4 linked regions of the Drosophila melanogaster genome follow. The protein of the gene in region 3 binds, or shares a complex with, the protein of the main gene of each other region. Each region holds a gene or a part of one and is shown on either strand. Other genes may lie near its edges.

Region 1 (6,257 bases), on a different chromosome or scaffold from region 3:
ATAGCTAAAGACATATGAAATGTATATATATATATATATATGTAGTAAAAGATATGACAGGTCAAGTGCAACTAACCGTACTGGAAACTTCAATCGCAGCAGGGCGATGTCGTTGTAGGGCCTTTCCTCGAAGACCATGTAGTGCCTATGCTTGATACTCAGATCGACGTCAATTTCCAGATGCTCTGGAGCGCAGTGTTCCCTACCATTAATATGGGTGACGCAGTCGGGATTGCTTAAAATGTTATGCTCGCCAAGGCGCACCCTCCTGAGATCCAATCCCGTTATCCTCAGACAATGGGCTGCGGTCAGCACATAGCGGTTTGTGATCAGGGATCCAGCGCACCTGGACACGAGTCTTTCATTCCACACCGAACGGCTGCGATGCGCATATAGAATCAGGGCCATCCAAGGCAACTCGTTGGGTTGCGTCTCCTCTCCTCCGAAAATTCGATAAGCCGGCATGATTGGTCCACATATCTGGGTATTTGGCAAAATGTGTCCCATATTTGGGCAGCAGATGAGAACTCTGTCCAATAATTCCTGCCCCTTGGGGCCATAGCCGCAATATCTGTCCTCGAATACCGCCTTCTCGGCTGGCGTCATGTTGTGGGGCTTCAGAAAGGGCAAGAGTGATGTGCAGCGGGCTAGACTAATGCATTTCTCATCCAGATTACAAGGCGGATATTCTGATACAGTAAAGAATTGGATATTAATAAATATTATATTATGTGAGTCATTTTAATTGGATGTTTAGATAATGATTGGACGAAACAAAGCTATTTATATTTTAAAATTCAAGGAAATACCCATATCCAAATGAATCATTTTCTTGAATGTTATAACGTATACAATGTGGAGTACTTGCAACATATATTACCAGACTCAGCCAGGTACATCAGCAATTGAGTATGCAGGACCAGGAAGGATATGTACACTCTTTGTAGGAAGACCATCTTTAACCGTCAGAGTTTAAACAATGTCTAAATCTTAACTAGATGCCCGACACGCACAATCAGCTTACTATATATGAGTCCGGGAAATGAGTCAGTCATTTACGTACAAGACCTCGGTGTTTCAGTCGAAAGTTTTTATCACAAGTACCCGGCATTAGACCTGGACCAATAAAAATTCATGTATTGTTTCGCCCTCTGTGATTTACTAGGAAATATCTGAATTTAAATCGAATACAAATGCTTAAGCTAGGGCCTATAACATGACCTTTTCCTTTAGAGGACATCAGTTGTGGTTATTCTTAGCGGGTTGTGGCAAAAGAGCCCAAGACTGGAAGGGATGCAGGAGTAGGGGGGCGTGGCGTCTAAATCTTGTTGTGCGCGTAGTTGTAGACCTGCTGGAAACCTTCGTCATCGCCCTCGCCATCGTCCGAGTCATCGGAGTCGAAAGTATTGTCTGGGATGTCGTACAGACGGATGATCGGCTTGTTGGGGTCCTTCATGATCAGGTATTTGCCATCCTTCTGCTTCATCACCAGATCGATGATGCATCTCAGGATTCCCCAGGCGTTGTCCATGCTCAGGTTGATCTGAGTGGCAAATTCATGCGGCTTGAACTGCTGCGTGCCGAGGATGACGTGACGCGAGTGATCTCTCGGATTGATACGCGACACATAGCCGAGCTTTAGCTGATCGGACCCGGCCAGGACGGCCTGCACAGTCCACTTGGCCAGCTTGCATGCGTTGTTCCTCAGCTCGTTGGCGAGCACAGCACCGCGCTGCGTGTCCAACTTTTGACGCCATTCCACGCCATTGGCCAACTTCGAGTCCCACTCGTTGAGTGCCTTGATAGTCATGAACTGCGGCTCGCCGCTTGGCGTCTGCAGGACACCATCGTGCTCGCAACGCGCTACCAGGACCTAAAAGTATAAGACAATAGTTTAACATAATATAGAAAAATATTCCAACTTTAAAGTTGGATTATGCAACACTTACAATATCGCTTCCCAGCTCCCACTTCTTGTAGCGGTAGCCCACGCTGGCGACTTGGATATCTTCGTCCTCGCTGATGAAAGGGTTGCTTTCCTCGAACTTGTATTTGGGTTCCTGGTCTCCAGTCTTAAGCACCTGCTGGCTAAAGTTGTGGTTAATGAAAGTCGCCTCGATGGCCAGGTTGCGAGGGGAGTTGCATGAGCTGTCGTCGTCGGTCGGTGGTTCCACGCTGCTCTCGTTCACGGTCAACAGATCGAACTCGGTGTGGTCACGCTTGTCCATGAACACCTTGTCGCCTAAAATAAGGTTACAATTATTATTTATTTCTCTTATTATTATTATATTTCGTATTTCATTTAACATACCAACTTTCTCGATGACAATATCCCAGGAATAGTTCGATCGCGTAGAGCACATGATGGTGGCCAGGATGGCGTCCGTGGCGAAGACATTGCCGACGGTCTTAGACAAACGCCGGATGACGGGATCGTCTGTGGTGGTCACCGTATGCACGATGCGATCGATCTTCTGCAGCGGCTTCTCGTTCTTCACATTGATGCGGTCGTAGGTCTTGTCGTAGTACTCCAACGTGCCGCAGGTGACAATATCGACGCCCTCCTTGATGTTGGGCAGCGACAGCTTGATGAGTCGCGGGAAGTCCATCTCCTCGATGGATGCCCAATCGGCGCGGACGGCCACCGAAGATTCGCGCATCTTTGGTGGTGGTCCGCGATGACCGAACTTCTTGCCCATGCCGCGACCATGGCGCGGATCGCGGGCCTTTACATTCTTGCCGCTGAGCGTCGTCATGCCGTGAGTATTAAGGCCACCGCGGGCATTCCTGCCACGACCGGAACGCGAATTCCTCATGTTGCGGAACCGGCCGCGCTGGTGCGGCGGCTTCTGGACGCGGGCCGTGTCCACCAGGTGGAAGGTTGTCTCGTCCTCCTCATGGTAGTACGAGTACTGAATGCCCGTGCCAAAGCTGGAGGCATACTTGTCTGCGAATGGAATACCAACCACCAATATGTTAGCAACAATATCATGCCACGACACACCTACCTAACCTCACTTTCGGCGATTAGTATTTTGTGGGTCGGTTTCGGGTGGGGAATAAACTCACTCTGGTACTTCTTGTCGTTGTTCGACGTATTCGTCCAGTCGCAGATCTTGCCCAGACGATCGTTCTTGCTGAACGGCTGGTACGGCACATCCTTGAACGTATCGGGCAGCTCGCAGGGACCCCAGCCCTTTTCATTGAACTGCACGGTCGGCTTCTCGAAGCTCGGGAACTGAGCCGCGGTGTTTATGGTCTCGCTCATCTCGCGCGTTTACCTGGTGCTCAGTCTGCAGTCGGCTATTCGGTCTATATACAGCGATTTTCCAGAAATCAACAAAGAAATGTGGAAAATTCGTATCGTCGCGTGTTGCGAAAATAGTTGAGTGGGACCGTTGTCGCGTTGAAATATACCACCGCCAAAGAAAAATACTAAAATCGTAGCGAATGTTCAAAGGTCTGGCAGCATGCTGTCATAGATGGCGCCACTGCTGGGCGGGAAAACTAAAAATTCGAACTATTCATTTTTCAGAACCTGATTTTACGATTTAATTACAAAGAAAATGCAAAAAATATTTTTTAATAAAAAAATGTATTGTTAAATGAACACAATATTTATTGACAATTATTTAGCTGCTTATTGAACTTTTCCTTATACTTGGCGCAAAAAATGGCATCAAAATGATCAGTTAAGTTTGCTGATAGATCCGCGTTATAAACCTTAAAATCACAAAGTTTTATTTTAGATTTCATGAATTTCTTTCGCATTTAAACTCACGTTATCCAGAGCTACGGCTGGCACTCCCTGAAATGAGACCTTGGCCGTTTCCTTGCCGTACTTCCTCAGAATGTCGTTCACCTGTCGCGTTTTCTTGCAATTTTTGACATCGCCCACGTCGATTTGATAGTGGTCAGCGCACTTTTCCAGCCTGTTCTTCTTACCCCTCATCATGCAGGCGATCAGCTTGAGGGATTGGGCAATGTCATGGTGCTCCAGTATGCAGGCGTGCCACGCGTTCAATTCGCACTCCATCACTCCGTGCTGGCACTCCACATTTCCGTCATCGTTCGTCTGGAGGGGATTAAGCGAAGTTTAAGTGCGGATTAACGCTGATTGACACTCTAAAACTTCAAATTGAGCTATACTATGTACTTGTACTATAACTACTAGTTTAAGCTACGAAAAATGAAACCTACCCTGGCATTTCCATAAGGAACCAGCGTAAGATCAGTGAATGGAAGTCGATCCTGACGGACCATCGAGGGATTGAGCTGCGTGGTCACGAACTCCATGCAGTAGGGACACAATGCTTCGTAGTACAGGGTGATCGCCAGTCGGTCAGCTTGCGGTCCGCGCAAACGCTGCAAAGTCACGATCAATGGGAGCGTCGCAATTCGGGATTCAGTCCGATCAACTGGGTCACTTACCCTTGGCGTGGCCACGCCCACCCATCCCAGCAGCAGACACACAAAGACAGCCGCCCTCATGGCAAATTCAGTTTAATCCCGAGCTGATCTTGAAATATTCGGCCGCTCAACGCCAGCGAACGCTCGACACTGAAATAATTCCGGGACTTGTAATGCGCAGCGTTGTCACTGCGTTTCGTCAAATTCGAAGCGGCCAGTGGCGTGGTTAGAAAATGCTCAAGGGGGGCTCAAAAATCATATAAGTTAAAAAAAAAATAATTATTTGTATTGCAATAGTAGGGTGACTTTTCGCTTGTTTTTTATAATTTTTCTGTAATATATCCGCTTTTGAAAAAATTAATATAAATATATAGATAAAGGGTGTGACTAGCCAACCAATTCGACGCCCCTGCTGTCAACCAGCATTTTCCCCTTTACATTTATGCGCTGACTACGGAAAACTTACTGAGCAGCGGGGTTTTAATCTTATTTTTAGACCACCAGACAGCTGTTTCTGATTAGAATCTGTATACAAAAACATGACTGATAAGCTGATATGTATATACTATACACATGTAAATTTTTATTGGCCCCAAGTGAGTCAGCGAGTAAGCAAACACTCCAGTTGGTTATAATTATTGTTTATTGGTCTTGGAACATTGAAACAGTTAAATTACTCAGTACATTACATAAAAGTTTACAAAATTGCGGAACAAGTGGGCAGTTTGATGTTGAACTTTTTCAGATACTGCCGACAGAAGTGTCTTTCGAAGTTGTTGCGAATGCTTCTCTGGTCGTAAGGATCAAAGTCCTGCGGATCAGAGGGTAATGTTAAGTTAAGTCTGGTATTTGATCATGTAAGCCTGGTTGGGTTGGTTACTCACATTCTCGAACACAATGGTGGGCACAAAGGAGATGCCCAGTTTAAGGGTTTCCTTGCCGTAGGGCGCCAGTATTTCTGCCGTGGTTCGGGATGCCTTACACTCCCTGGCCTTGCTGACGTCCACACCCATGCTCCTCGAGCACGGGCCCAGCTCATTCGAATAGGAGCGCAGCATGCAGTAGATCAGATTGAAGGCCTTCCGAATGTCCAGGGTCTCAATAATGCAGGCATGGAGTGCATTTAGTTCGCACTCATCCACGCCATGCTGACAAAATACTTGGCTCTCGCCAGTGGATGTGTTGTTGTAGAACTGCACGTAACAAATTCTGGTTTAAAACCTCAAAAAACATGAACTATTTCACGATCTACAAACAAATTGTGTGTGTGTATTTCAGTTTATTGCTGTTTTTTTTTTAATGTAAATACAAATGGTTTTCGAAATGAACTGCTAATGAATTCGAAATGAGTACTAAAGAAATGACTATAGTATGCATAAGAATTCTATCATTTTGATCTTAGCTGACTCACCCCCGCCTTGCCAAATGGATATAGCTTTAGATCGGTGACCGACCACCAGTCGTTGTCCTGCAGAGCATCGTACAATCTGCGCCGGATGAAGCTCATGCTGTCCGGGCACAGGGCCTCGTAGTGAATGGCCACCAGGAGCCGGGACTCATCCGGGGACTGGCCATTTCCGGGCGTGGGCCAAACGAGCAGCAGACACAGGGTAAACAGTAGCCCAAATATTTTATTCATTGTCCGCGTTCGTTTTTCGCTCTTGGCAGCCTCACAAACCAAACACAACTGCTCTTTTCAACTTGCCCATTTCACTTGCGCCGCTCCATGGAAACAATCACGCACATCTGTGACATTCACACAAATACACGCTCGCCTCCTATATATATATATATATACGTGTATGTATATATATATATATATTATATATTTGTTCTTTCTCTCCCAT
Region 2 (5,007 bases), on a different chromosome or scaffold from region 3:
GGCAGACGAGCGGGTGGTGCGGCAGCAGCGAGAGCATAATACTTAGTTGCCGAAATCCGGACGGACGATCGCGGTTTACACTGTGAGTTCAATCAAGGAAGCCCCGATCTATACGGACGATTGGCATAGTTGTTTTCCTTGCGTTGTAGTCTTAGCTCAGTCTACTTGGGTTTTCATTTTGAAATCGGATCTCATTACGGTTTTACCACAGGCTTAATACTTCGTGCGTCTGCTCGGATCGCCGGTCGCTGGACGTCTGAGGGTGTGGATCCGCATCTAATCCACTCCTCAGAGCAGCGATGTCTATCAGGAAAGGCGACCGGGGCACACCGATAGCCCTTGGCTTGAGCGATAAGTCAGAGGCGGCGGAGGCGTCGGTTCGTCTGAGGGGTGGGGGCGCAGAGAGACAACGGGAGATTCGTCTGAGGAGAGGGGTGTCGTAGGGCTACTATCGACGGTCAACGTCAACGTTTGCTAATTTTCAGTTCGTTCCAGCTAATTGATTGCCCCGGTGGACATCCGCCGACTGTCCCTGAACCGCGATAAGGCGTTATTATCTCGGCATTATTTGGGTGGTCCACATCCCCGACACCCCCACCACCTTTCCACTACCATCCTCCGCCGTGCCCTCTTCGTCGAGATTTGAACAGACCGAAATAGATCTGTACTGGACCTTATCACCGTCCGTAGAGATCATCATTCCGCCGCGGGTTTCCCAGCACTGTTGTTGTATTTACCGCAAACTTTTTGGTGCTTAAACGGCCAAAGGAGTTGGCGAAATGACTCGCTTTCTCTGAAAATCACTTACCAAAGGGACTAAGATCGGGATGCTGGAAAAGAATGCCGATCAAGCGTTGCCTATAAGGTTTTCGGGCAACGCAACTGTGTAGAACGGGGGAAGCCTTAACGAAAATCATTTGTTTTCGGCACGAGCTTATAATGATCTTAATCGCTGGATGCGATGTTTCTAGACTCCAAAGTTCAGGAGCCGATACTAATTTAATAATTTCTACCGAAGGCTTGCTTTAGTGTGACCTACATCCTCCTTTTAATGAAAGTTCAATTTATTAGGTGGTGTAAATAGCAAAAGGCACCCAAAATAACAATTAAGTGATTGATTCAGTCAATTCAGTCAGTTTTTTGTCATTGTTCACTGATCCTGCATGCAAGACAGTTTCTCGCTGATCTCCAGCTGTGTTTTTATCATTGTGGAAAGAGTGATGGCCATGAGCATATCCCTCAAGTTAGTATTAAACATGACGCGAAATTTGTCCGAGTCCAAAAGCGGCACGGCAGTGAGAGCGGCGTAAAGGGATCTCCCGACTACGTTGTCAGGTTTTTTCTTCCTGGCCAAGACATCGTTGATGTAGCGCAGCACCAAGTCAAGGCGATGTTGCATATCCCTAGTGGCATCCACCACTTGAGCCAACTCTGGGACGAAGCGCTCCATTTGCTTGCTTGCCTGTTGCTGCGATTGCTTTTCTATGCAACGCAGAGCCACCAAATCGGAATTTTCGTTGCTAATCTCCAGTGGAACTAATGAGAACATCAGTCCTTTGGTGCCACCAGGCACTCCCATCTCCACAGCACAGTACAGTCGGGTCGAGAGTCGCTGGTTCTTCAGGGCTGCATCCACTAGCAGGTGCAGTGGCTGTCCTTCGCAGCATTCTCTGACATAATAGTCGTGGATCAGGGACGCGGAGCGGGACACCGATTTCCCAGTGCAGAACCAGCCCAGCACACGCTCGTTCGGATAGGCGAACATATTTAGCTCTAGGACCTCGGAGGCATATGCCATATCCAGATCAATGCGTTTGTTCTCCGAATGCTCCTTGTGCGGCACAGTAAAACAGTTTGTGATCTCGATGTGGCCCTCCTTGTTGCGACCCAGCAAAGTGCCCATAACCTTTGGTTTGATCATTACAAGATTAGTGGACAGGAGATGAATGCGCGCACACCTACCTGATTGTCACCTTTTGGTCGGCGATCGTATGCGTCAATAATTTGGAAAAACACCAACGGCTTTAGATACACCTTAGCTCGCATGCTAAAATTCCTAGACATCATGAGTTACAAAAAAAATTAAGTTGGAAAAGAAACTTAGCAAAGCAAACTTGGCTGCGCTTGTGCCTCCCCTCGATCCAGTGTTGTAAAATGTAAATATAACTTAAAAGGGCACGTGCCAAAATGTGCTCACCTATTTCGTTGCCTTGCTATTTAGAAACTTGCCTATTTAGAAACATTTTGAAATGGTAAACAGAAAAAACAAGCTTAAAATAATTTTAAATTAAGCATCATACATTATTTTACAGTTGTGTATGCTATAAGAACATAATAACAAAAATTAAAAACATTCTGCCTTTTTACCATATATGTATATAGTTTAAAATTTAGTAAATGTCTGTTAAAACGACTCTTAATTTACGTGCATGAGTTTGTTACGGATAGCCATGGGTATTTCGTGTATCAATACCTTGTGAAATGGGAATCTCACCAAGTATCAATGGCAGTGTTCCTTGCTCCTCCCATATTTCGCATACGGCATAATGACTTTAATTTCATACTCATACAAATTTCAATTGGCGCCCTATATTAAAAACTCAGTTAAGGTGGTAAACAAATCAGACTGGTAAAACGTTTACATAGCAAAACCAATGAGGCCATTTTGCATGGGAACTAATTTATATATTTTTAATATTTTAAAAAAATATATTTATATAGCCGTCAATGAATATTGTTACCCAAATTCGTGATAATTCTTCTTTTATGTCGAGTGTATATTTTATTAGAAAATGTACAAGACTTTTAATTTAAAAACTATTCCCTGCAAAGTAAATTCATCGATGAATAACCAAATATGCATATTGCTATAAGCCCAACATATTGCATTATAAAAATCGGCCATCTACGGCGTAGATCTTACACGCAGGTCTTGTTTGAAGCAAGAAGAATCGATTGTAAAACTCCCGCTTCTTAAAACGGTTTTAGCTCGATAACGGAATATTTTATTCAATCCTCGGCAATTTCCATCTTATACCTGTCGGTCGTAAAGCATAAGGGTAAACTAGATAGATTGCTAGAAAAGGATGTGTCAGGTAGGAGGAAGCGTATCCCGTCTTGTAAAGTAAATCCTCCTACCGTGCATCTGTCTGCCTATCTAAATGAATGTAGAGATCTCGGGAACTTATCTAGGGAGTGCATTAAGCATGCAGATTCTAACAACACCACTAAAATTATGTTACTCTAAAACGTAAATTTAAGTTTATTCTTAAAAATCGTTGATTTAAATTTTTATACGGATTTCATAAGCTTTAATTAATCATATGTGGTTAATGTAAATGCAAAATGGGCTGGATAAGAATGTTAATTTATTTATTAAGTACTAAAAATGTAAATTCCTTAAATGGCAACCATGTTAAACATAAGCAGAGATTTAATGAATGCAGACCGTGAGCACAAATCACAAATTAAGTGTGAACTTGAACCTCCATCAAGATGCCTCCAAATTATTTCCGAAAGCGACAAGTGTAACGCTAAGAAAAAGTACACCTAGTAAGGCGATAGTTTTATATTCTTTTTGGAAAATATAAAAATTAGTACCATTAACAGCTTTGGAGTCCGAGTTAAGCCTTATTATTAAAGAGTTTGAATGAACATTTAATCTAACGAATTAACATTGTTACATACTCTTGTGTCAAACAATTGTTGCAAAATGTGATATAATAATAAAGTAATGGGACGTAAGATTGATATCTAAAAACTTAAAATAATTTATATAATTTTTTGTAATTTTTTTAAATTTCCCATCGATCTCTTCGATTATAAATCTACTATAAAAGAAACACACAATACTAAAAGTACATTTTATTATTTTCTTTTACTGCGATTCTTAAAAATTATATATTACTTTAGTTGCCATGTAAATATTAAGAAATTCAAAAATTGTTGGTTTTAAAACAGGAATATTAACTTTTTGCAGCGTCTGAATCTTTTCCTCGAATCATTATACATGGAAATAATATTGTCACGTCCAACATGTCACGTTCGACATATCATTGCGTGTGGATTAAATAACTCGATTGAAGTAACCAGTTCTGAAAAGTTAATTATTTTTCTAAAATTAATTATTTGAAAACATAAATGGATTATGGGAAGGTACGTGCTGTTAAACCAATGAACTTTGTCCGGCCGTAGTGAAGATAAAGTTATATATAAGTATCTATCAATATCTATTTAACAATATTAAAAAAAAAGGTAGACTGCTACAGTCGACTTCCCCGACTATCAGATACCCGCTACACAGATGGTAGAAATGCGAACGCAAAATTTCATTATTATACTCGTTATTCGTAGAGTAAAAGGGTATACTAAATTCTTTGAAAAGTATGTAACAGGCAGAAGGAAGCGTTTCCGACCATATGAAGTATATATATTCTTGATCGAGATCAATAGCCGAGTCGATCTGGCCATGTCCGTCTGTCCGTATAAATGTGCAGATCTCAGGAACTATAAAAGCTAGGAGGTTAAAATTCACCATACAGATTCTAGAGACAGAGTCGCAGCGCAAGATTGGGTTTGGCAACTTGAATTAACAAACTAGCGTTCGACAAGAGCCGAAGATCACGAAGATATATAGTTTATATGCCTGTTACAAACTTTTCAACGAATCTAGTACACTTTACTCTACGAGTAACGGGTATAATCAGTCAGTTATTAGAAACCTGTCAAATCAGTGAACAAATCTTTTTCTCTAGTATCGCCGGCATGGAAGGCCGCAAAGAATTTCTGAATATTTTGTTGGTCATACAAATCATCTACATTGTGCCGGTTGGGATTATATGTTTGGTGATCGTGGCGTTTCAGGTGACGGGCTATCGTCTCAATGACTTTGTACTTTTCTCCTATATGAACTACATAGAGCAACAAGCCCGTTCGTACACTCCGGAATCTTGGGATAAAGGACTCAACATAATAGTGTGGATCCACGTCGTCATCCTATACGTGGTA
Region 3 (5,113 bases):
CATGTCCTCGATCGCGTGGACGTGCAGCTCGTTGCCCTCGAAGGTGGCGACCGCATTTGGCTGGCAGCTATGGTCCGTAATCGAGACGCCCAGATATATGGCCGTGGCAATTGAGTTCATCTCGGCGTCCAAGATATTGAAGCCATTGGTGATCAGCTGCAAAGAGCAGAGAAGAAAGAGCATGAGCTCCCGCGTAACTGTGCGCCGGGGAATGTGAACCGAAGCCCTTCCTAGATAATCAATTGACTGGCAGAGCGCCAGGCATACATCATTGATTGCTATCTAATTTGGGCGACCAGGAGCGGCTGCATACGCAAGCGTCTTGGTTTCTCGATTCAGTACCAGTGCGATGAATCGCCCAATCCGCTCCTGCTCGCTCGCACAGGTGCCTGCACACTTACGCGACCATAGATGCTCATCAGTTCCGTCTTGTTTGGCACCGTGCTGGGACTCTCGGCCATCATATCGGTGAGGACGGCATGCAGCGAGTCCAAGTGCTCCAGTCGCATGGGATCGTTCTTGATTTCGGCGTAATCTGTGCACGTTAACGTGGATTAGCTAGGAATGACCATGCAAAGCGGTTCGCCCTTTGGTTTACTCACGGGACATGAGATCGCGAAACTTGCGGGAGCCGTGCTCGGTGTAATAGCCGCGGATCAGGTCTCCGCCGTGCTCCAGGCGCAGGATCAGTCGGCAGAGCATTCGGGCAGCATCGGGCACAACTCGAGGATGCACCTTCTTGAGGAAAGGACACTCGTGCTTGTGCTGGCCCCAAGCTTGCATCTGGCATGAGCGGTGGCAGTAGGACACATACCTGCAGTTGGAGCACTTCAGCACCTTGGTCCTGCAACGACGAACCCAAATTAGATAGCTCACAAAGGCAGCCACATGGCGAAACTTACGCCTCCAGGCAGTTATCGCACCGCTCCAGGCGGTACTGTGATTTCAAGACGAAGGCGAATGGTTTCTCCGTGAGGATCCGCTGTCCCCTTTTTATTTGCGGCGCCGGATTCTTTAGGTTCTTGGATTTGGATGAGCATGCGGATGCGGTTGCGGATGTGGTTGCGGATCTGGATGAACCAACGGTGGCGGTGGCCATTTCGCTCGAACGGAGCAACAACAAAGACTTTCGCCTGGGGGCCCGTCTCACTGACGACTGAAAATGAGCGCACACCTGAAGATCAAAAATATTGTTTCGAATGCTTTTTGAATATTTTGCGGCATCTGATTTCTATTTTTGGCCACAAAAACAAACACAATTTACGCAAATCGCTGGCAAACACAAAAACAACAACACCATGGTGTTTATTCGCATGCAAACGATGGCGTTGCCAGATCGGCTGGAATCATGCTTTCTACAGTGGGCACCGCGTAAGGTTAACTTGTTAACCATATGTGGGTAGCTGCATGTCGTTAAAAAATACACTTAACAAATCATATTCAAGTTTTTTAAGTAACAAATAAAAAATATTTCTTTTATATGTTGTTCCCAGTGTCTACGATTTGGTGGCCTTGCGTCCTTTAAAACGAGGGAGAAAGCTATATTAGAGCAAAAGTCGAAAGCATTTGTGTTGGTTGGTCCGCAAAACTAAAGAAGAGCGATTAAGTTATATCAAATATGAAAAATATACGATTCTAGATGCCATTGTATCCTTGCAGAGCATAGTCATCTGGTTTTCGGTGCCCATGGGGGCTGTTTTAAGATTTATTTGTAGCAAACTTAGCATAGCATAGGGACAAATTGTGTGATCGACTCGAACGGACTCCTATGAGCAGTAAACGCGGGTAGTGGGAACGGGACTAACTAATTGTTCTGGGGTTTCGACCATTCGACGCTGAGGATCAAGTGGTCGTAGCCGTGTCCATTGAGGATCTCGATGGCGGCGGCCGCATCCTTGCGCTGCTTGAAGTGCACGTAGGCGAATCCCTTGCAGAGTCCGGTGTTCTTGTCGCGGGCGAGATACATCTTGCTCTGCGGTCCAATCTTCTTCACCAGCTCCTCGAGATCCGCCTCGGTCATCGACTCCGACAGATTCGATATCCTAATGGCGGCCGTGTCGTCGCGTCCGCGCATTCCCAGCGCGCCCTTTTGGCTGTCCTTGAGGAACGGCGGCACATACTTGCCGGACTTGGGCGCATCGACGGCGGCCGCGGCGGCTGCCGAAGCCTTCTTCTCCATCATATTCGTGTCCATCGCCGTGCCCTTGTACGGGCAGTTGACCGACCAATGCTCACCGTTGCAGATACGGCACTTGGCAATATTCTTGGTGGGATCTAGCAGCGGATCGTTGGCCTTCTCGTCCTCCTTGGAGTTGAGGAACTGCATGATGATCTCCTCGGACACCATGGTCGTCTGCGAGTTGGGGCCGGGCTTGTCGTTCTTCGAGTCGCCGAACTTCGTCCAGGTGCGTCGCTTGGCCACCGTCTTGGGCACCACCTGCTTGGATATCTTGTACGTGCGCACCACCTTCGTCTTCTTGTCGTCCTTGTTGTACTTGTACTCCGTCACGTACTTCTGTCCGTTCTCCACCGTCTCCGTCGTCGGAGGTAGTCCACCATAGTCGAGCTCCACCTCGTCCGCCCAGGAGGATTTGATCGTTTCAACGCCCGGCATCTGAAAGGAATTGAGGGCGCAGTGAGTGGGGCTACACTGGGCGCTTGCTTGGGGTGCACTCACTCTGATTTTCAACGCGATTTGTATGCGAAATCGTAAATGCAAATTTCGCCACGAGTTAAGCGGATTTTTAATCAGCAACAAAAGAGTGTTACCCTGCCGCGGTCACAAAAATATGCCGTGTGTGTCCAAAAAATATACCGCTAATACCACTTTGCACTTTTTGGAATATACCATTTGAAATTTCGTTACATATAAGTTAATAAGTTATCGATTTGATTTTGAAGATCGCAAGCGACCGTTTATTGCAATTTATCATTTGAAACTAAATCTAGCGTACAAAATGTTTCCCTAAGTCCCTAGCAATCAAGTGAAGTCGTCGGCAGCGGCGCAGCAGGCGTCGGCCGCGGCGCAGCGCAGAAGTGTCGATGTCGCGCTTAACCGTTCGTTGGCGTTGATGGCAGCGGAGACTATGTGGAACCACAAGATGTTAGAGAATCAATTGCAGGGCAATAACTCCTCCCCTCTTAATTGACGCTTGTCCTCGAGCGGTCATCATAAGGATGGGATGTTTTTGAGTCGCATCGTTGGTGGGGTGATTCGTGGTAGTTTGGGCACAGCATTAATGGTTTGAATGCCAGGTGTTTATTGTTGCGTGCGTTCGAGGTTTGTGCAACTCGGATGTGTTCTGCATTGACAACTTGATTGCTTCTATTAAAATTCTGGTTTTTACTAAATTACTAATGAATTTATATCTACATATTTTTAGACCATTGGAACCTTTGCAGAAGGCATTGATTCCGTACATTTCGTCTTTAATTGGTAAATTTTATTATTATTCAAATTAAATTATTATTTATTTATTATTATTAGTTTCCTTTACTGATCATGTTTTAAAATATAAGAAATAAGGAATTAACTGATTCAATATGGAGATTTCAATGGCATTCAAATTGTAGTTCCGTTGTGTAAAGCGAGAACGTGTGAAAGTTTTAACATTTATTTGACCGTCAAGGCAGAAATCGGTATATTGTTTTCAAGTAGGCTACTGGTCTCATTCAATTTAAACTCGCTCCGCAGAAACGCATTCACAACGCAATCTCTTCTTTCACGAGCCCAATCTAATTCTGCAAACCTATGGCCAACTCGTCTGTCAAAGTCGAATCGTTTCAAATTTAATTCTCGTGGTTACGTTAATCAGTATGTTTAATGTTTCTATGTTCTACTTGTCTATCGATGTGGCCACAGTAATTATTCTGAAGCAATCATGATCTTATGTTACTTTTATGTACTAATTTCCCTGATTCTGTTAATATTGTGGTACTTCGGTCTTCCTTAACTAGTTCCTTCCTAAATCTACTTGATAACTTAGAACCTAATCTTGTATTAACCCTAACGAAAATTTCTTGCCCTTTGATATAGGTTTTTATGGGCTTTCTTGTCCGGTTGTGGTATTCTATGTCGGTTTCCTGTTTTTGCCTAAGTCGGTCTATATTGTCCAGTCTAGCTTGTTCATATTTTTCTGGAGCTACGGTAGCTATCCTGCCGAAGAACACCTCTAGAGGTCGTTTTTTTGTGACAGAATGGACAGTGTAGTTATATTCATAGATGGCCCTATCGAGAAGTTCCTCGAAGCCCCTATGTGTTCCATCTCCTTTCAAACATCTCATTATTTCAGAGAGTGTGGAGTGAAATCTTTCTATCTGTCCATTTACTGTACTCTTATACGGAGGTGCTTTGTAGAGCTCAATACCCAGCTGGTCTGTCAACATGAATTTGATAGAGGCTGAGTTGAGGGACTTTTCATTGTCCATTACTATTAATTTAGGCACTCCATAATAAAACACGATATCTCTTAGGGCTTTCCTAATGTCTTCTACAGCTTTGGATTTGATAACTCTTCCCATGGCCAGTTTGGAAAATTTATCAATCGCCGTGAGCACCAGATGTCGTTCTGTCGAGTAGATGTCAATATGAATAATTTGTCCGGGGTATTCTGGCAAGGGAGTTTGTCTTATTTCTGGATGCGTGGGATGTCTGTCATATTTAGCAGTCTTACACACCAAACACTGATTCACGATAGCCGAAACTTTTTTCCTCATTTTAGGAAAGTATACTCTTTCGGACAACTGAGCTTTATTTTCCACAGCATTTCTGTGTGCTCTGTTATGTGTCCTAAGTATTTCTTCCTCTTGTTCGGCTTCGTTAACAAGGTCTTTGACTTTGCTTTGGCAGAATCTAATCTTGAAACCCTGAAAATGGATGGGGTAGAGAATTTGAATTTTCCCCATTACATCCTCGGATGTGAAAATTCCATTAATCACGGATGGGTTAAGATATTCTTTCAAATCTGACAAGAGACTATCGGGTGTGAACAAGTTGCGATCTACTAAATGCCTTTGAAATGTCGGGAATGGAATGCTAAATGAGTAGTTCTCTGACTCGGACTCCCTGAAGAAAATTTGATTCTTGAATGCGTTTATCGGGGCTTCAACGCTA
Region 4 (6,021 bases), on a different chromosome or scaffold from region 3:
CACTTACTTTTCTCTGTGCTTGCATTATGTTGGATAGACCCGAAAAGAGAAAAGAATGCACAACAAGAAATTGAGTACGTACAAAATTAACCGACTAAAATTGGATCATTCAACTTAGTGGGAGTATTAAAATTATAATAAATTCTGTATAGTATTATATATACTCCAAAAGTGAACAAACGAACTGGCACTTCATTTAAAATTTTCTTGTATCTAACTAATTCGTTTCCTGGATCCATTGATTATTATTATTATTATTTATGTTTATGTTTTACCTTTGAACAATATACATACACATTATCTAGCTTACCCACAGCATTTTTTTTTCTAATGTTCTCTATGTGTTTGTTTTTAATGCAATTAAATTTTCCGAAAGTTAGTTTCGTTTGTTTTCAGAACGAACCAGTGGAAGGAAAACTCACACTGATGAAAGACATTCAGCTCGGGCTCCTCGCAGGATTGAAGCAGCAGCTCCAACAGTTCGGCATCGCCCAGAATGGCCGCCGTGCCCACGGCAGTGCGTCCGCAAGTGGGCGATACATACGAGGCCTGGGCACCTTGCATGATGCAGCCCAGAGCCTGCTCGAAATCTCCGCTCTGTACGGCGGTTAGCAGGCGTTCGTTGAGGTCGTAGGACAGCATTTTGCCATCGGGTTAGTAATTTAGTTAGTTAGGCTAACTGAAGCTGGTTAGCGAAAAGGCGAAGCGAAAAGAACAAACCAAATGATAAGCAGCTGCTTGTGGGGTGGTGTGAAAAGTGCGTCGATGTCGTCAGTGGCAGCAACACTCCCCCGGAAAGTCTCATCGAGAAGTGAAACCAAACATCCGGCGTGCGCAGAAGCAGTACCAATTTTTGGCTGCATAGCGGGTGGTGGTTTTCTTTTTTTGGGGCGGTTTGAATTGGCCATTCTATTGAGCAAATGGAGAGTACAATAAAGAAGAAATCAGCTGGCAGTTCGCTTCCAAGCCCACTCATCGCTTGTTTGGTTTATTTTCGACGTCTGTGTGTGCAGTTGCTATGTTTGTGGGTAGTGAATGTTGTTGCCTCAGCTTAAAAAACGCTTAACATTAGCTAATCTATTTGGTTTCCTTTGCTTCCTTGGCAATTTGCAGCGATTCCGTGATGAAGAGTTTGGCCAGCGATTGCGAACAGAATTGTGCGATATGCTGGGCGTGGGTATTGATCTGGCCAGAGGTTATGGTGGCCGTCAGGCGGTTGGGCGCAGTCATGGGGCGGAACTGTTTGATCACTTCCTCCTCTGGCACCGTGGGCTCTCCCTTCGATGTGCGAACGGCGTTCTCGGCGGCCAGCTTAGCCAGAGCACGGTGCTTCTCCTAAAAAATATAAATGCAAGGAAAGCGATTAGGAATTTTTACATATTTAATTATATTGCTACGTACCGTATCCTGCTTGAAGACCACCTGCTGGTACTTGTTATAGCGCACTGCCTCCTGGTACAACTCGTCGACGCGCTCGATCAGGCTACGCATTTGGTTCTCCAATACGGTGGCGGTGCCCAGGTCCAGGAAGTTGTGCCCCTTGTCCTCGGGCAGCAGCTCGTTCAGCTCGCTCATCATAATGTTGGTCAGCGGCGAGTTCTTGATCACAATGGGAATCTCGGCGAAGAGGTTCTCGTAGCCGACCTTCAGGGTGCGGAATGCCTCTGGAGTGAAGTCGCCATCCTTGTACATCTGAATGGCCTGCGGAGTAAGGCGGTAGGCCTTCAAGCACAGGAATCCGCGGGATGACTTCTGCGTATCGTAGACGACAACGACGGACTCTTCAATGCTGGTCTGGTAGTGGTACTGCGATTCCAACAGAGCCATTGACAGGCTGTTGCCCACGTCGGAGCTCTGGTACCAGCCCACATGGAGATGATCTACGTTGACGCGACGCAGGCGACGCATCACGGTCAGCTGGTACATCTCCTCGTCCATGGTCTCATCGCCGCTCTTGGGAAACGGGAAGCAGTTGGTGATCTCCAGGCACTTGTCTACCACCAGACCGAGCAGGGCGCCCTGGGCGAGGTCCATGTTGCTCGACTCCTCATGGCAGTGCTTCACCATCTTCATGACGGCCTGCAAGGTAAAGTGATCGTAGTAATTATGTTCCAAAATCAATTAGCGACAGACAACTATTTGCATTTGAACAGGGGCGTGGAAAGTAGATATATTTCGGACTTTCTTTTAATAGTTTCTCTGAAGAAAACATTTGACTGAAGTTTTTTGTGCTATGGTAATGAAGAGACCGGCCCCCTTTTCCTTATAGCTCTACGCCCATGTCCTCACGAACACCCATACAAACACACACAAAGCACGCAAATTTCTGAGACAGCGCGTGGCATTAACTTTTCCGGCTTTCGCGCCGGTTCCCACGGGCCAATCTCGGCCAGGTCTTTTGGCCAACAGCACTACTCACCAGTCCGTCGCATTGGACGTAGTTAATGGTATTATCCGAATCCTCGGTGCGAGCAGCATGACGATTTGCGCGATTTGCCATGTTGACGAATTGTAAGCGAAAAGACCCACGACGTGAACTCGGCTGCAGTGGTAAAAGGGCGTTTCGCAACACCACAATTTTTGTGTGGGTTGAAGTGTTGAAAAGCGTGCACTGCTTTAAAATCAGCTGTTCGGGCGAGCGATAAAAAAAGGCCCAAAATATATTTTGTTTATCAGTGGAAAAGCAACAGAAACAAACTCAAAATTGTACTTCCTAGAAAACCGAGAAACGGCCCACTTGTCACGAACGAGCGGAACGGTACTGATAACTGCGGTTGCCGCAACTTGTAGCTAGTCTTAGTTCTCTTCGCATTAGCAACGCAACGCTGGCAGTACGAAGACCGCAGAAATGTCAACTAATTGGCGTGAATTGTTCCCCACCAAGCTCACATTTGTGATCTTCCTGTTGTACATGTCCCTATTCATAGGACAGGGTATGCAGCTGCCTTATTAAGGCTTTTTACGCAAGCCAAAGCCGCACCCTAATTCCTGTCTATTTTGCAGGCATCTTTGTCACAGCATCTCAGGAATCGAATAACTCCTATGGCTACAATACCGTCACGGTTGTGCTGCTAACCGAGGTCTTTAAATTGATAGTCTCCACCTGTCTGTATTGCCGAGAGTGAGTAGGAGTGGAGGCGCTCCTTTGTCTCGCTATTAAACCGCGATTTCATTCACAGCAACAACCTACGCTCCCTGGTGCGCGATGTTCAGAAGGATCGGAATGTATTGGGCTTGTACATGGTGCCCGCCTTTCTCTACTGCCTGTACAACAATTTGGCCTTTGTCAACTTGGCCACATTCGATCCCACCACCTACTATCTGCTACTGCAGCTACGTGTCGTTGTCACGGGCATACTATTCCAAATTATCTTCAAGAAGTACCTGTCGCAAAGGCAATGGATCTCCCTCATACTGCTGACACTCGGCTGTATGATGAAGCAGGTCGATTTCGGCAGCTTCTACAGCGATGCGAATGATGACAGCGAGTCCGCAGCCATACAGCAGCAGCTGCAATCACATAATAAAACAACTTCTGCAGAGACGCACGCTCACGGCAAGAACATGTCCGGCTTCGATTTTAGCCTGAGTGCCGTCTTCATTCTGGCACAGACAATTTGCTCTTGTCTGGCGGGCGTTTACAATGAGTATCTGCTTAAAGATAAGGGAGCCGATGTGAATATCTTTGTACAGAATGTCTTCATGTACCTGGACTCGATTGTCTGCAATGCAGTCATCCTCTTGCTGCGCGGCGAGCTCCTTGATGCCTTTAGTCCGCAGAATCTGGGCAGTATTATGCGCTTTAGCGTGCTAATCATTATTGTTAACAATGCGGCTATTGGCATTGTCACGAGTTTCTTCCTCAAGTACATGAACTCCATTCTAAAGACCTTCGCGAGCGCTCTGGAGTTGCTCTTCACGGCAGTCCTATGCTACTTCCTCTTCTCCATACCCATTTACATGAACACCGCGCTGGCCATCGCGGTTGTATCCTACGCCATCTATCTCTACACCCAAAGCCCGGTGGTTAATTTGGGCAAGGTGCGTCCGCTGTCCAATTTAAGTGATGCCACGACCAAATCAACGGATAAACGAAAGCTGATCGACGAGGAAGCGGCAGAATCGGACCTCGATATGGTGTAATGCTGTAGCTTGTCCTAGACGTAATCTTAGACTGTAAATAGTTGTGGAAAAGTGCCTGCAAATGTTTTAAACGCCAGACGAATGTATTTGACCCCAGGCTTTGTGCAATGCAATAGCAACAGGCTTGTAAATACCAAAACTTTTGCTCCTCTAGTTTAAGATTCTTATTTTAATCAGAACATAAATGCAATCAAACGAATATTGTGCATGCTTCTTCAAGAAGCTTTTTATTTTATGGTTCATATACTATCACATATGTACATGGTATATTTGGATGCCTGCTTGTCTTAGCCTAAAATGGTGTGTCCACATCATGTCCATCTTCCTGTTTGGGCGGTATGCGACTACGAAGCGCTATCTGCACCGCCTGGTTTTCGATGCTGCGGAGATAGTAGTCACACTCCTTCAGATGCTTCTCCATGTCCTGGACTCGGTGTGTGGCGTTGTACTTGCAGGTCTGCAGCGGCGGTCCACAGTAGTTCTTCTCGCACTTAATTAAGTGCTTGGGCATCCGGAAGAGCAAGATGCGGTGCGATTTGTCGTAAGGGCAAATTCCGTACTCGAAATCGGACATTTTGAAAAAGTCAAGAGCCGTTTGTCAAAACAACAAATTCATAAAGCTTAAGGTACCGCTATGTTTTAAAGTTTTAGTTATCGGTTGTGTTATCGGAAGTAAGGAATTTTCGATTTATTTATTTTTCAAACCAGCTGTCAAGATATTGACCTTATACGGAATACCCCCGATGAATATAGGGTCACACTGAGCAGACGCGCGTAAACCACCCCGTCCCTCCCTTTTACTTTTCATTCAGCTTGAAAATTTCATAGAGTTCGGTCAATTGTCAAATCTGCTCAAAACCACTTAATTACCAGGTAAACGATGGCACGTACCAAGCAAACAGCCCGTAAATCGACCGGAGGCAAGGCGCCCCGCAAGCAGCTGGCCACCAAGGCGGCCCGTAAATCGGCGCCATCCACCGGCGGAGTGAAGAAGCCACATCGCTACCGTCCTGGAACGGTGGCCCTGCGTGAGATTCGTCGCTACCAGAAGTCCACGGAGCTGCTCATCCGCAAGCTGCCGTTCCAGCGTCTGGTGCGCGAGATAGCCCAGGACTTCAAGACCGATCTGCGCTTCCAGTCGGCGGCCATTGGAGCCCTACAGGTATGGTGTACAGCACTCCCTGCACCGTGACTATTTCATACGGTCATGTAATAATGCGTCTCTCCCCCATTTCAAATGCGCAATTTGCAGGAGGCCAGCGAGGCGTACCTGGTCGGTCTGTTCGAGGACACCAATCTGTGCGCCATTCACGCCAAGCGCGTCACCATTATGCCCAAGGACATCCAGCTGGCCAGACGCATCCGTGGCGAGCGGGCCTAAATGCCCATGACCGCCATCTTGGATTGGAAAAGCAGTGGCGGCAAAACTACCAACCCACAGCTGTCGCTTGGAGGGGGGAACTCGGAGCTAGAGGTGGAGGTGGAGAAGCGGAAAACCAAACCCCCGGCCGCAGCTGCCGCCGCTTAGTACTTAGGTCTATCTATACTTACCGATAAGTAATCAATACACAATGTTCTAATAAAATCGAATTCATTTTTGTTTGTAAATGTTTAACCACAAAGGAAAGCGTTCATTCATATATTTTGTTCAGACTGTACATTATTAGTTGTGTCTCTTAAATTGTAATTGTTGTCTTGCTGTCTCGGCAACAATTGAACATTAATTTGAATGGTTTCGTACAAAAATACATATATTCTATTGTATCATTTTGTAAAATGAGGTAGACCATGTAGTAAATGCATTCATTTTTCGTTATTCTAGTACATATGTATATCTAGCATGTACTGGAATGAAAAGTATCTTTAAACTATGTAGAT

The links.
Region 1: eIF3g1 (region 3) and eIF3d1 share a complex: the UniProt entries of both Drosophila melanogaster proteins name them as parts of the eukaryotic translation initiation factor 3 (eIF-3) complex.
Region 2: eIF3g1 (region 3) and eIF3f2 share a complex: the UniProt entries of both Drosophila melanogaster proteins name them as parts of the eukaryotic translation initiation factor 3 (eIF-3) complex.
Region 4: eIF3g1 (region 3) and eIF3h share a complex: the UniProt entries of both Drosophila melanogaster proteins name them as parts of the eukaryotic translation initiation factor 3 (eIF-3) complex.

What each region holds. Positions count from the first base shown.
Region 1 is NT_033777.3:23,677,202-23,683,458, reverse strand, and holds eIF3d1 (eukaryotic translation initiation factor 3 subunit d1), read right to left. Parts: upstream 3,421-6,257; 5' UTR 3,269-3,420; coding exon 3,070-3,268; intron 2,948-3,069; coding exon 2,312-2,947; intron 2,243-2,311; coding exon 1,950-2,242; intron 1,874-1,949; coding exon 1,319-1,873; 3' UTR 1,142-1,318; downstream 1-1,141. Other genes in the region: CG16710 (uncharacterized protein), read right to left, coding at 1-4, 77-689, 881-956; GILT2 (Gamma-interferon-inducible lysosomal thiol reductase 2), read right to left, coding at 3,619-3,723, 3,782-4,075, 4,201-4,365, 4,432-4,491; GILT3 (Gamma-interferon-inducible lysosomal thiol reductase 3), read right to left, coding at 5,108-5,221, 5,295-5,603, 5,822-6,049. UniProt on the Drosophila melanogaster protein: mRNA cap-binding component of the eukaryotic translation initiation factor 3 (eIF-3) complex, which is involved in protein synthesis of a specialized repertoire of mRNAs and, together with other initiation factors, stimulates binding of mRNA and methionyl-tRNAi to the 40S ribosome.
Region 2 is NT_033778.4:6,197,977-6,202,983, reverse strand, and holds eIF3f2 (eukaryotic translation initiation factor 3 subunit f2), read right to left. Parts: upstream 2,132-5,007; 5' UTR 2,068-2,131; coding exon 1,963-2,067; intron 1,907-1,962; coding exon 1,151-1,906; 3' UTR 1,028-1,150; downstream 1-1,027. Other genes in the region: CG30431 (uncharacterized protein), read right to left, coding at 1-37; CG30432 (uncharacterized protein), read left to right, coding at 4,765-5,007. UniProt on the Drosophila melanogaster protein: Component of the eukaryotic translation initiation factor 3 (eIF-3) complex, which is involved in protein synthesis of a specialized repertoire of mRNAs and, together with other initiation factors, stimulates binding of mRNA and methionyl-tRNAi to the 40S ribosome.
Region 3 is NC_004354.4:2,607,569-2,612,681, forward strand, and holds eIF3g1 (eukaryotic translation initiation factor 3 subunit g1), read right to left. Parts: upstream 2,769-5,113; 5' UTR 2,678-2,768; intron 2,615-2,677; coding exon 1,805-2,614; 3' UTR 1,679-1,804; downstream 1-1,678. Other genes in the region: Smyd3 (SET and MYND domain containing, class 3), read right to left, coding at 1-156, 402-535, 603-844, 903-1,099. UniProt on the Drosophila melanogaster protein: RNA-binding component of the eukaryotic translation initiation factor 3 (eIF-3) complex, which is involved in protein synthesis of a specialized repertoire of mRNAs and, together with other initiation factors, stimulates binding of mRNA and methionyl-tRNAi to the 40S ribosome.
Region 4 is NT_033779.5:5,050,236-5,056,256, forward strand, and holds eIF3h (eukaryotic translation initiation factor 3 subunit h), read right to left. Parts: upstream 2,849-6,021; 5' UTR 2,501-2,848; coding exon 2,420-2,500; intron 2,080-2,419; coding exon 1,402-2,079; intron 1,336-1,401; coding exon 1,078-1,335; 3' UTR 958-1,077; downstream 1-957. Other genes in the region: CG9121 (uncharacterized protein), read right to left, coding at 423-642; senju, read left to right, coding at 2,849-2,933, 3,004-3,121, 3,180-4,143; CG14036 (uncharacterized protein), read right to left, coding at 4,436-4,717; His3.3A (histone H3.3A), read left to right, coding at 5,024-5,305, 5,396-5,524; Nepl3 (Neprilysin-like 3), read right to left, coding at 6,012-6,021. UniProt on the Drosophila melanogaster protein: Component of the eukaryotic translation initiation factor 3 (eIF-3) complex, which is involved in protein synthesis of a specialized repertoire of mRNAs and, together with other initiation factors, stimulates binding of mRNA and methionyl-tRNAi to the 40S ribosome.